Mus musculus: one gene and its partner. The protein of the gene in region 1 purifies or fractionates together with the protein of each later gene. This does not show direct contact. Links are inferred from orthologs where the notes say so. Each region holds a gene or a part of one and is shown in the gene's direction. Other genes may lie near its edges.

Region 1 (5,542 bases):
TTGACACTCAAAACCAGCCAGTACATAGCGTTTAACCCAAATTACACAAAATTAACAAATCTCCGTTCAAAAGGAATAATTGGCAATTAAAAACTAAGTCTTTGATGAATTAACACATAGTTGATTGGAATTGCTTTTAATTCTTCCCATTTCCCACTTGTGCAAGGTCGACTTTTACTTTAAACTTTTGATGAAAATTTATCCACTGTCTTGAACTCGTTTAGTTTTTCAGGATCTAGTTATCAATTTTTGCCAAGATTTAGATCCTCTTAGTTACTTTTAACAAATCAGGTATAATTTTAAATCCCCTCTCACTATTTTGTGTCAGTTATACCCATAAGTGATGCTGAGACAACGGGTTTTAGTTTTTCCTAGCAAATCCATGAGGGAATCTTCGACTGTCTTACCTCTCAGGTGTCATGTACTTTGCAGACATAGAATCCACATAGAAGTTTAAACAGAGTCACCCAATGATTGTTTTTAATGGGTATCGTAGTAACCATTGATTGTTAATATTATAAATCAAACTATTTAACATTAATATAAAAATATAGCAGTGAACACTGAAGGCTAACATAACATTATTGAAAATGTCTCTCTTGAGGACTGATATTCTCAATTTTTTCCCCAAATATTTTATATGTGGCTTAGTGGACGACAAAGAGTGTAAGTGGCTCCTTGTGCTTTTCACATTCATACTGTGACATACTGAACACCCAGCAGGCCTTCACAGCTCCCCACAGGAAGAGGAGACAGCTCTGTATTACTATGAAAACACTTGCGTAGTCATGGGCCCTGAAAGGGCGTTGGAGAGCCTCGGAGGTGTCAAAACCAATCTTTGAGAACCACTGAACGTTTGCTCTGTCTTCCAATATAATTGGCTCACTTACCTTGTGTTCGGTGACAAGAAAGTATTTTCATGGTTACATTTTTTTTTCCTTTTTCTTTTCTTTTCTTTTTCTTGGATATTTTCTTTATTTACATTTCAAATGTTTTCCACTTTTCAGGTCTCCCCTTCGGAAACCCCCTATCCCATCCCCACTCCTCCTGCCTCCATGAGGGTGCTCCCCCACCCACCCACTCCCATCCTCCCACCCTGGCATTTCCCTACAAATGGTGCATTGAACACCCTAAGGCCTGAGGGCCTCTCTTCCCACTGATGTACAACAAGGCCATCCTCTGCCACATATGTGGCCAGTGCCATGGGTTGCTCCATGTTTAGTCTTTGGTTGGTTGTCCTGTCCCTGGGAGCTCTAGGGGAACTGGCCTGTTGACACTGTTGCTCCCTCCATGGGGCTCCAAACCCCTTCAGCTCCTTCAGTCCCATGGTTACATATTTAAAATGTTTAATAGAAAAAAAAATTGCAGTTGATAGTACGGTTGCAATTATGAGTCTGTCCCAATGTAAAGAAAATCTTAATTTCTCTATGTCCAACGACTCACCAAAGCGTTTCATATTTTTCTGCAAGGGCAGGAGATGCTTCCATTTTTTTGTATTTTTTTATTGTAAGAGTGTTTTACTTTCTCTATGAAGTTATTCTATTTACATAGAAATGTTTGTGAAAAAGATTCTGGGGGAGTAGAGAATATCTATATAGATATATAGATATAGATAAAGTGGTTAACTATTCCCACTTTGTAATCTGCCCATCTAGGGTAGAAATCGTCGCTGTAATATCTATTGGCCTGGTGACCTCTGCGTACCACTGAATTGTGGTTATCAACTTCCCTTCCATAAAATGGAGATTAATATTCATTCTTAAATTTGACCAATAACAAAGATAACTGCACTTAAGCAAACCGCTTAGCTCTGCTACGCACGTGCAGTCCACGCGTTGCAATCCTCCATGCTATTTCAAAGATCACCTTCGAGCCTTCAGTGCTTCCCAGTGACCAACACAGAGGATGTCCATTGGTAGTTTATAGGGGCGAGGGCGGGTGAGCTTGGAGAAGAAAAGGCTAACCTGCCCCGGTGCTGGGTCTGCAGGATTAAGTTTAAGTGAAGGATAAGACGTTGGGTGTCCGCCACCGAAATATCACAAGCCAAACGTCCTAACCAAAGTTTACTCATTAACTTAGGACAAGGGACACGAAGGGAGCATGCACGCTCTGGGTTCGGCCTGATCGTCCGCTTTGATCGGGAATCGGCAGATCAGGTCTGTCTGCTGGAACCTCTGGTTCTCGCGATATTTCAGAGACGCTGCAGGTTGAAGGGGCGGGGCGACCGGAAGTAGGGGGACGCGAGGCGGCGCCGAGGCCCATTCCCAGCAGGCAGTGCGCGGCGCCCCTTGCTTCCTCGGCGTCTCGGAGCGAGCGCGTGAGCGGTGGACTGCGGCCGAGCCATGGCGCTTCACGTCCCCAAGGCCCCGGGCTTTGCCCAGATGCTCAAGGATGGAGCCAAAGTAGGTGGCGTGGAGGGACTGTACGGTGGGAGGGTGGGTCTGCGCCTGTGGCGACCGCGACAGGCCTGCGGGCGGGCGGCCGCGCCGCGATCGGGATGGAGAAGGTTCTAGAAAGGGAAGCGTGCTCTGGATGCCGGCTCGCTGGAACTGGTGGGCATTTCTGTTATTCCCCCGGCGGCTTCGGGTTTGCATCCCAGCTCCCCACGCCCCTGTCTGCGGCATGGAGCCCACGGGCGCCGCCCTTAACGCGAGCTGGCGATGCGTTAATGAACTTGGACGGAATTGGTAACGGGTGGTTGGAGGGCCGGGGATTGTAGGATGGAGATGACACGAGTCCGGCATGGTCACTCCTGGGCCTGCCCTTGGTTGCTTCCTTCCAGACACGTCCGATCCCCACTGCTCTACTGAAAACTCTCCTCTGGACGTTCTGTTTCCTTTACCTTTTCTGAGTTGAGACCGGGCCGAAGGCTGTTAACTGTCTTTTCACTCTGACTGTCCGATGTCGTAGCCTACAGGATAAATGAAGCCCCACCCCAGATCGAATAGGCCGTAGTTTCAGGAGTGATTTTTTTTTTTTTTTTAAAGCGGTCACATTGCTTATGGAGCGATTTGTCCTGAGTTCCCCAAGCTGCCAGATAACGTTTGTTTTGTCTTTCATATTTTTACAAGTTGTAGAAATAGCGGATTCTTAGCAGTACAGAGAGGTGGTGTCCCCTTTGTAGTGATAACTGGCATACTGAATGGATGTCAGGGCTTAATGTAAGTTAGTAAGTTCTGCAAATGACACTGTTAACCTTTTGAGGGGTAGCAACAGCTTCCAGTTTCCATCTTTTCCTCCATCACTCTGGCTGAGGACATGATACATTTAAAGGATTTCTGTCACAGGCTAGCATTTCAGCACAGAGATACTTTGTGTAAATCGGTACTGATGGAGGCTATAGTGAAGACAAGTTTTTTTAAAGTACCCCCATCCCCCAAATTTAGGTTAAAAGCTAGTACTAGTAGGCTGGGATTGTAGTTTAATGGTAGATTGCTTTCTTGTGTTCAATCCCTGGAAAAGGCAGAAGGAAGAATAGTTGTTATTTAGCTAGGTGAGTAATAATCTGCCAAGTAGGAGCTATTGATTATCCCATTAGTTTACAGATAGGAAAGAGAGCCAGGCCCAGTGGGGGAAACTGAGGCTGTCTGATGACTGCCTGTGTGATCCTGGCTGTTTCTTAGAAGCATACTCAACAGAGGTATCCTGCGGTAGAAAACTCTTAACTTGGTTATCATGCCTAAGCAGACATTTTCTTTTTCAGCATTTCTCGGGATTAGAAGAGGCTGTGTATAGAAATATACAGGCCTGCAAGGAGCTTGCTCAGACTACTCGCACAGCGTACGGACCAAATGGTAATGACCAAGTTCAGGCTGTGTGGTGTGACTGTTAGCGTAGAGAGCGGGCCTCACGTGTTTTATGGTCGGTGGCATTGATGTGCCTCTCACTTTCAGTCAGGAATGCAGCTTTCTGGGAAAAGAGAAATTGGAAACGATGCTGTTACCCTGTTAGGTCCTAGGGAAGTCCAGCATCCTCACTAGTGGCCAGTACTATTGTGGAAAGGCTCAGCAGTCTGCAGAAAACAGCACGGCATCAGGAAGCTCTTCCTTCCCTTTAACCACCAGTTGAATTAGAGATGCACACAAAGAGATTACGGAAGAAACCAAATGTGTTTCTAAGCATATTGATTTTAGTGTTAATTCCTGTTTATTAAGCACGTCTTACATGCTAAGCATGTTGGTGTTTAGTCAGGGAAGCCCATGGGGCTATGATGCTGATCTAAACAGATGGTGTGTTCTGGGGCTAAACATCAGTACGGCTTCTTGCCGGAGTTTTCCTGGGTTGTTTGCAGAATATTTGAATAATAATGGAACCTTTTTTTTTTTCTTTGCAACTACTTTTAAGGAATGAATAAAATGGTCATCAATCGCCTGGAGAAGTTGTTTGTGACAAACGATGCAGCGACTATTTTAAGAGAGCTAGAAGTAAGTTTTGTTTCAAAACCATCAAAAACCCATGACTCTGACATAGGTGAAACTGTATTCAATCTAGAGGACGAAAGGCTGTTTCTTCCTCCACTTTATTGTGAAGATTTATAAGTGACCTTTCTAGGTTTTCCATTTTGGCTACTCAAACTCTTAAATTGTCTGTGGGTGGGTGGGTTGAGGAGTATTTCTCTGATGATGATGAGATTTATTATTCTATAGATTGATTCTAATGTGAATTCTCCAGCAGTATAAACTGGTAAATATTGATACTTTATTTTACATAACCTTTTGGCATTTTCCTTTTTTCCCTGAAGTTTTGTTGTCCAAGAGGGTGTGGAATAGATACTTGGAGCAGGATAAGAGGGCTGTGATGCCCATCTCTCGCTCCATTAAACCTGTGGTTTAGTATTGGAGGAGGGGGTAAATAGTGTTTTTTAAAAAATGAGAAAAATTCACATTTCTCTAACAGCTTAAAGAATATGCTAAGAAAAATCTACCTTCACAAATATTTGTGGAGGAATTTTTCATGGTAAATGAAATGAGGAGGACTGGAGTTGAGTGCAGACTCCTCTTGATCAGTTCCCAGCACCCACATCAGGCAGTCCACACAGAGCATGGAATCCTAGTTTAGAGTGACCCGCCACCCCCTTCCAGTCTCTAGGCACCTATTCACACATAGCCACACACAGACACACACAAAAATAAAAATGACCTTCAGAATAACAGAGCTGTGGTGTTGACTTAAAGGGGGACGTAGTCTTTGATTTATAAATGTGGCCTGGGGAGATAGCTCAGTGATGCAGCTCTTGAGCCTAACAAACACAAAGCCCCAGGTTCTGTCCCCATTGCTGAAAATTTAAATTGAACAGTGTCTAAGAGTAATTCCTAAGAATTGAATTTTGTGGCTTTTTAAAAATACTTTGAAGCTTGGGTGTAGGTGCCTGTCTAGGCTTTGATTGCCGACGCTGTATAAACCTGTATAAAAGTGTGGTGGCTTCTGCATGCGGTCAGCACTCAGGAGATGGGGGGGGGGGGCAAAAGGATCCGAAGTTCAAAGTCAACGTCGGCTAGAGTCTGACTGTGTGTACTATCTCAGAGAGAGAGTCTGACTGTGT
Region 2 (4,431 bases), on another chromosome or scaffold:
CAGACTACGGGACCCGGCTGTGGACTGGGGGCCTGGACAACACTGTGCGCTGCTGGGACCTGCGCGAGGGCCGCCAGCTTCAGCAGCATGACTTCAGTTCCCAGGTGCGCTCACAATCCTCGGCCTCCCCGAGGGTGTCCCTACCCGGCCTGAAACCGGATAGGACACGGGGACTGAGGAGACAGCTTGGTGGGTAAAGTATTTGCCTTGATGGCAGGAGTTCAAATCTCTAGAATCCACATAAAAAGCCAGACAGACATAAAAAACCTGCCTATAACCCTGGGCATGCCGAGAGCTGGAGGGTCAGAATAGTCAGTGGGAGACGGACTGCCTTACATACGCCTTTAAAAATAAGATTTACTTATTTTACTTATATGAGTACACTGTAGCTGTCTTCAGACACACCAGAAGAGGGCATCGGATCCCATTATAGATGGTTGTGAGCCACCATGTGGTTGCTGGGAATTGAATTCAGGACCTTTCTTCAGCCCAGGACATGTCTTTAATTCCAGCAATGGGAGGCAGAGCAGGTGGATCTCTGTGAGTCCCAGGGTGGTCAGAGCTGCATAGTGAGACAGTCTCAACCCACCCCCAAATACAAATACAAATAAAAAACCACTGCTAGACTAAGAGTGACTGCAGCTTCTACCCCTGATCCTGACTCCCCATCAGTCAGAAGCAGGACACAGTCAAGGCTCAGCCCTGGACCTTGAGCCACCTGTAGAGCCAGCTCCCTCTGCCCAGAATCTCAAGGTGCTGTGTTCCTCTGATGAATGCTAAGGTGTGACACCTGTCACTGGCCACCTTCTTGTCCCCATTTGGGGCACCCCTGGGCCTTCTTCCAGCATCATGTGTGACCCCAGGGTCTCAGCACTCTCTCTCTTGACCTAGATTTTCTCATTGGGCCACTGTCCCAATCAGGACTGGTTGGCTGTGGGGATGGAGAGCAGCCACGTGGAGGTCCTGCATGTGCGCAAGCCTGAGAAGTACCAGCTCCGCCTCCATGAGAGCTGCGTGCTGTCACTCAAGTTCGCTTCCTGTGGTACAAGCCTGGGAGACCCCTTGGCACAGCAGAGGGAGGGTGGATGGATGGGGGTGAAGCCTTAAATTAGATAACGAATTACCCAGGCCTGCCCACCCAGCTGCTTATTCAGGTCAAAGCCAGTTTAGATAAATGCACAGACACATTTAAAAAAAAAAAGATGGACCAGGCGAGGTGACTTGCATGCCTTTAATTCCAGTACTCGGGAGGCAGAGACAGGTAGATCTGAGTTCAAGGCTAGCCTGGCCTGTAGAGCCAGTTCAGGACAGCCAGGTCCACACAGAAAAACTGTCTCAAAAAAAAAAAAAGACAGCTATCAAGGACACTCCATGTTGCCTGGCAGCTCTCAGCTTTTTGATACTGCATAGTAGGCGGCTTCAGGAAGGAGTGAATTTCTAAGGTTTCCTACCCTGGTGGTCACTCCCATCCTCCCCTCTGCCCCCTCCCCTTCCCATCTCAGGACGCTGGTTTGTGAGCACAGGCAAGGACAACCTGCTCAATGCCTGGAGGACACCCTATGGGGCCAGCATTTTTCAGGTACCTGGTCTCCCCCAAATGGAGGCCAGCTCGACATTTCCTGTCCTAGACACTTCCTGTTACAGAGTCCCACACTTTGGGTCCCTCTGTGTACCACAGTGGATTTATTATAAGTACACTGTAGCTGTCTTCAGACACACCAGAAGAGGGAATCAGATCTCATTACAGATTGTAAGCCACCATGTGGTTGCTGGAATTTGAACTCAGGACCTCTGGAAAAGCAGTCAGTGATTTTAACCGCTGAGCCATCTCACTAGCCCTAGGTGGCAATTTCTAATAAGTCTCTTGAACCTTCAATGGATGTGCTATAGTGGTCTTTCACATTTCCTGTCCTTCCTAACCATCAAAGACCCCAGGAGTCTCCAATCCAGAGCAGTACCATTATCAACCCTTCACATGTCAGGGATACCCCTGTCCCTCCAGGACACGGTGACACAGATCTGTAATCTTAGCACTTGGAAGGATGGGGCAGAAGTATGGTTGGTTTGAGAGAGAATGAGGGAAGAGGAGGGAGGTACTTTGCTGTGAAGCCATCTGAAGTCGAGCTGTGATGAGTTAGGTACCATCTCTTAAGTCACCAGTCAGGCTAGCTCAGTCCCCAGCTACAAGGCCCTGGCAACAGTCACATCTACCAGCCTTTGTTGTCCTCCAAGCCCCATGCTTCTGGTCTGTAAACTTGGTGGTGGTGACCATGTGGCCACCCCTCACCTCCCCTTTCTCTGTCCCAGTCCAAAGAATCATCTTCTGTACTGAGCTGCGACATCTCCAGGAATAATAAGTACATCGTGACAGGCTCAGGGGACAAGAAGGCCACTGTGTATGAGGTGGTGTACTGAGCCATCTGCTGCCTTTTCAGGTCACCTGCCCTGGATGGCTGGCCACTCGGGACACGGGCCCCTCTGCTCATACCTGGCTTGCTCCCTCCTGGCTGGGTGGGGCTGGGGCACTGGGGAAATATAACACATTTATCAACTTGCTTTCTTTCTGTGTGTGTGTGAAGCGTACAGGTGAGGGACCCGACTGGGTATCAGCCTTCATTTCTCTTTGCCCCAATTTTCAGAGTGTGGATCTCACTAATGAGCCTCACAGACAGGTCAACATGCCCCAGGAATCCTCCTGTCTCTACCTACAGAGCTGGATCAGGGATTTACACTCACTCCTTATCCTGCCTGGTGTGGGCTTTACCAACTGAACCATCTTCCTGGCTCTCTTTAAAACAAAAACTGGGTGGGGCTAGTTTCTTAGTGTAGCACTGGCTGTCCTGAAACTATGTAAACCAGGCTGGTCTGGAACTCAGAAATCCGCCTGCCTCTGTCTCCTGAGTGCTGGGATTAAAGGCAAACACTCAGAAGTTGGAGGGCTCAGAGCTACAAAGTTCTTCCAAAACCTGGGTAAAGGACAAATCTCTGCCATTTCAATTGTTTTATTACACGCAACTCGGGATCTGCACACCCCATGGAAGCCTCTAGAAGCACTGCAGACCCATCACACCCATTGCCATCCACCACTGTGCAGTTAGGGGAGGGGAGTTGAAGTTGTCAGTACTTGATGTGGTACACCGAGGCACAGTCCCTGGATCCTGTGATGATGAGCCTGCCGTTCTCAGTCATGTCGAAGCATCTGACAGGGCCAACCTCGGGGACCTGAGACAGCAGCTGAGTGAGCTCAGTTCCTCTCCACCCAGAGCTTCAGAAATGACCCCTGTGGGGATGATGCTGAGGGTCCCGCTGACAGAGCCCCCAGTGCCCCCTGCACATAAGTACCTGGAACAGTTTTGCTCCGGTGGGCATGCTGTGGACCGTGATGAAGTTGCCCATACCGACGCTCGCCCACCACTTGCCTAGGAGGAGGGGAAGGAAGACAGGGAGGTTACAGCAGACCCCACCCATTCACTAACATCCAGCAGCACCCAGGAGGCTGAGGCAGGAGGACTGAGAGAGTTTGAGATGAGAATGAGTCTAGGCTACATGAGACCTTGCCTCAAAGAACAAGGCAGAACAGCAAAAAGTTTTACTGTTTTGTCTTTTGTTATGTTTTGCCGTCTGAAGCCTTTTATAGCTCAGGATAGCCTTAAGCTCCCCAAGTAGCCAGAGATGACTCTGAACTCCTGATTATGATTATGTTAATAAAAGATGTTGGAGTGTGGACAATACCCAAGCCCTGACTGGGCACTGAGTAAATAGCAGGGTCCTCTGAGAGGCCAGTGGCCACAGTGTGCACCCATCCTCAGTGGACTGGTTTCCCAGACAGGGTTTCTTTGTGGAGTCCTGGCTGTCCTGGAACTCTGTACACCAGGGCTGGTCCTGAACTCAGATCCACCTGCCTCTGCCTCCCCAGTGCTGGAATTAAAGGCGTGTGCCACCATGCCCAGGCTCAGTGGACTCCTTACCATTTGGGGAGAACTTGAGGCCTAAGATGGTGTTGTCCTTGGTGTCCACAGTGAGCACCTGGTCCCTCTTCCTGCTGTTGAACAGGCAGTGCTGGCCATTGGCCAGGCCCAGCAGCAGCCAGTCTTCGGTCGGACTGTGAGCCAGGCTCATGATCTGGGTGAGCCAGGCAGAGGTAGCAATCAGACCCCTGCTGGGCGGCCAGGCTGCAAGGTCCCCGCCCGAACGCCCGCCCACCCAATGACTCACTGACTGGCTGTGGCCCGACTGTGTCTCCACACCTTCCTTCTGTGAGGTGTATGAACTTCACAGGGTTAACTATGGCAGTGACAAGTCTGTCTCCCTGGTTGGTTTTATTGGGACATGGTCTTGCTCCATAGCCTAGGCTGTAGTGACTTGCCACATAGCCCAGGCTGGCCTTGAACTCCAGCATAAAATATTTGCAACGATAGTCTTTGAGACCGG

The links. The genes of interacting proteins can lie anywhere in the genome.
Region 2: the proteins of Cct8 (region 1) and Tle2 purify together in Homo sapiens (affinity purification with mass spectrometry; 3 studies listed by BioGRID and IntAct, with this or other methods). This does not show direct contact. The link is inferred for Mus musculus from reciprocal best matches to the Homo sapiens genes CCT8 and TLE2.

Annotation. Positions count from the first base shown.
Region 1 is NC_000082.6:87,492,589-87,498,130, reverse strand, and holds the start of Cct8 (T-complex protein 1 subunit theta), read left to right. Parts: upstream 1-2,261; 5' UTR 2,262-2,342; coding exon 2,343-2,402; intron 2,403-3,703; coding exon 3,704-3,794; intron 3,795-4,344; coding exon 4,345-4,424; intron 4,425-5,542. UniProt on the Homo sapiens protein: Component of the chaperonin-containing T-complex (TRiC), a molecular chaperone complex that assists the folding of actin, tubulin and other proteins upon ATP hydrolysis.
Region 2 is NC_000076.6:81,587,918-81,592,348, forward strand, and holds the end of Tle2 (transducin-like enhancer protein 2), read left to right. Parts: coding exon 1-104; intron 105-891; coding exon 892-1,042; intron 1,043-1,502; coding exon 1,503-1,579; intron 1,580-2,307; coding exon 2,308-2,415; 3' UTR 2,416-2,435; coding exon of another isoform or gene 2,436-2,771; 3' UTR 2,772-2,928; downstream 2,929-4,431. Other genes in the region: Tle6 (transducin-like enhancer protein 6), read right to left, coding at 3,118-3,222, 3,343-3,419, 3,969-4,122.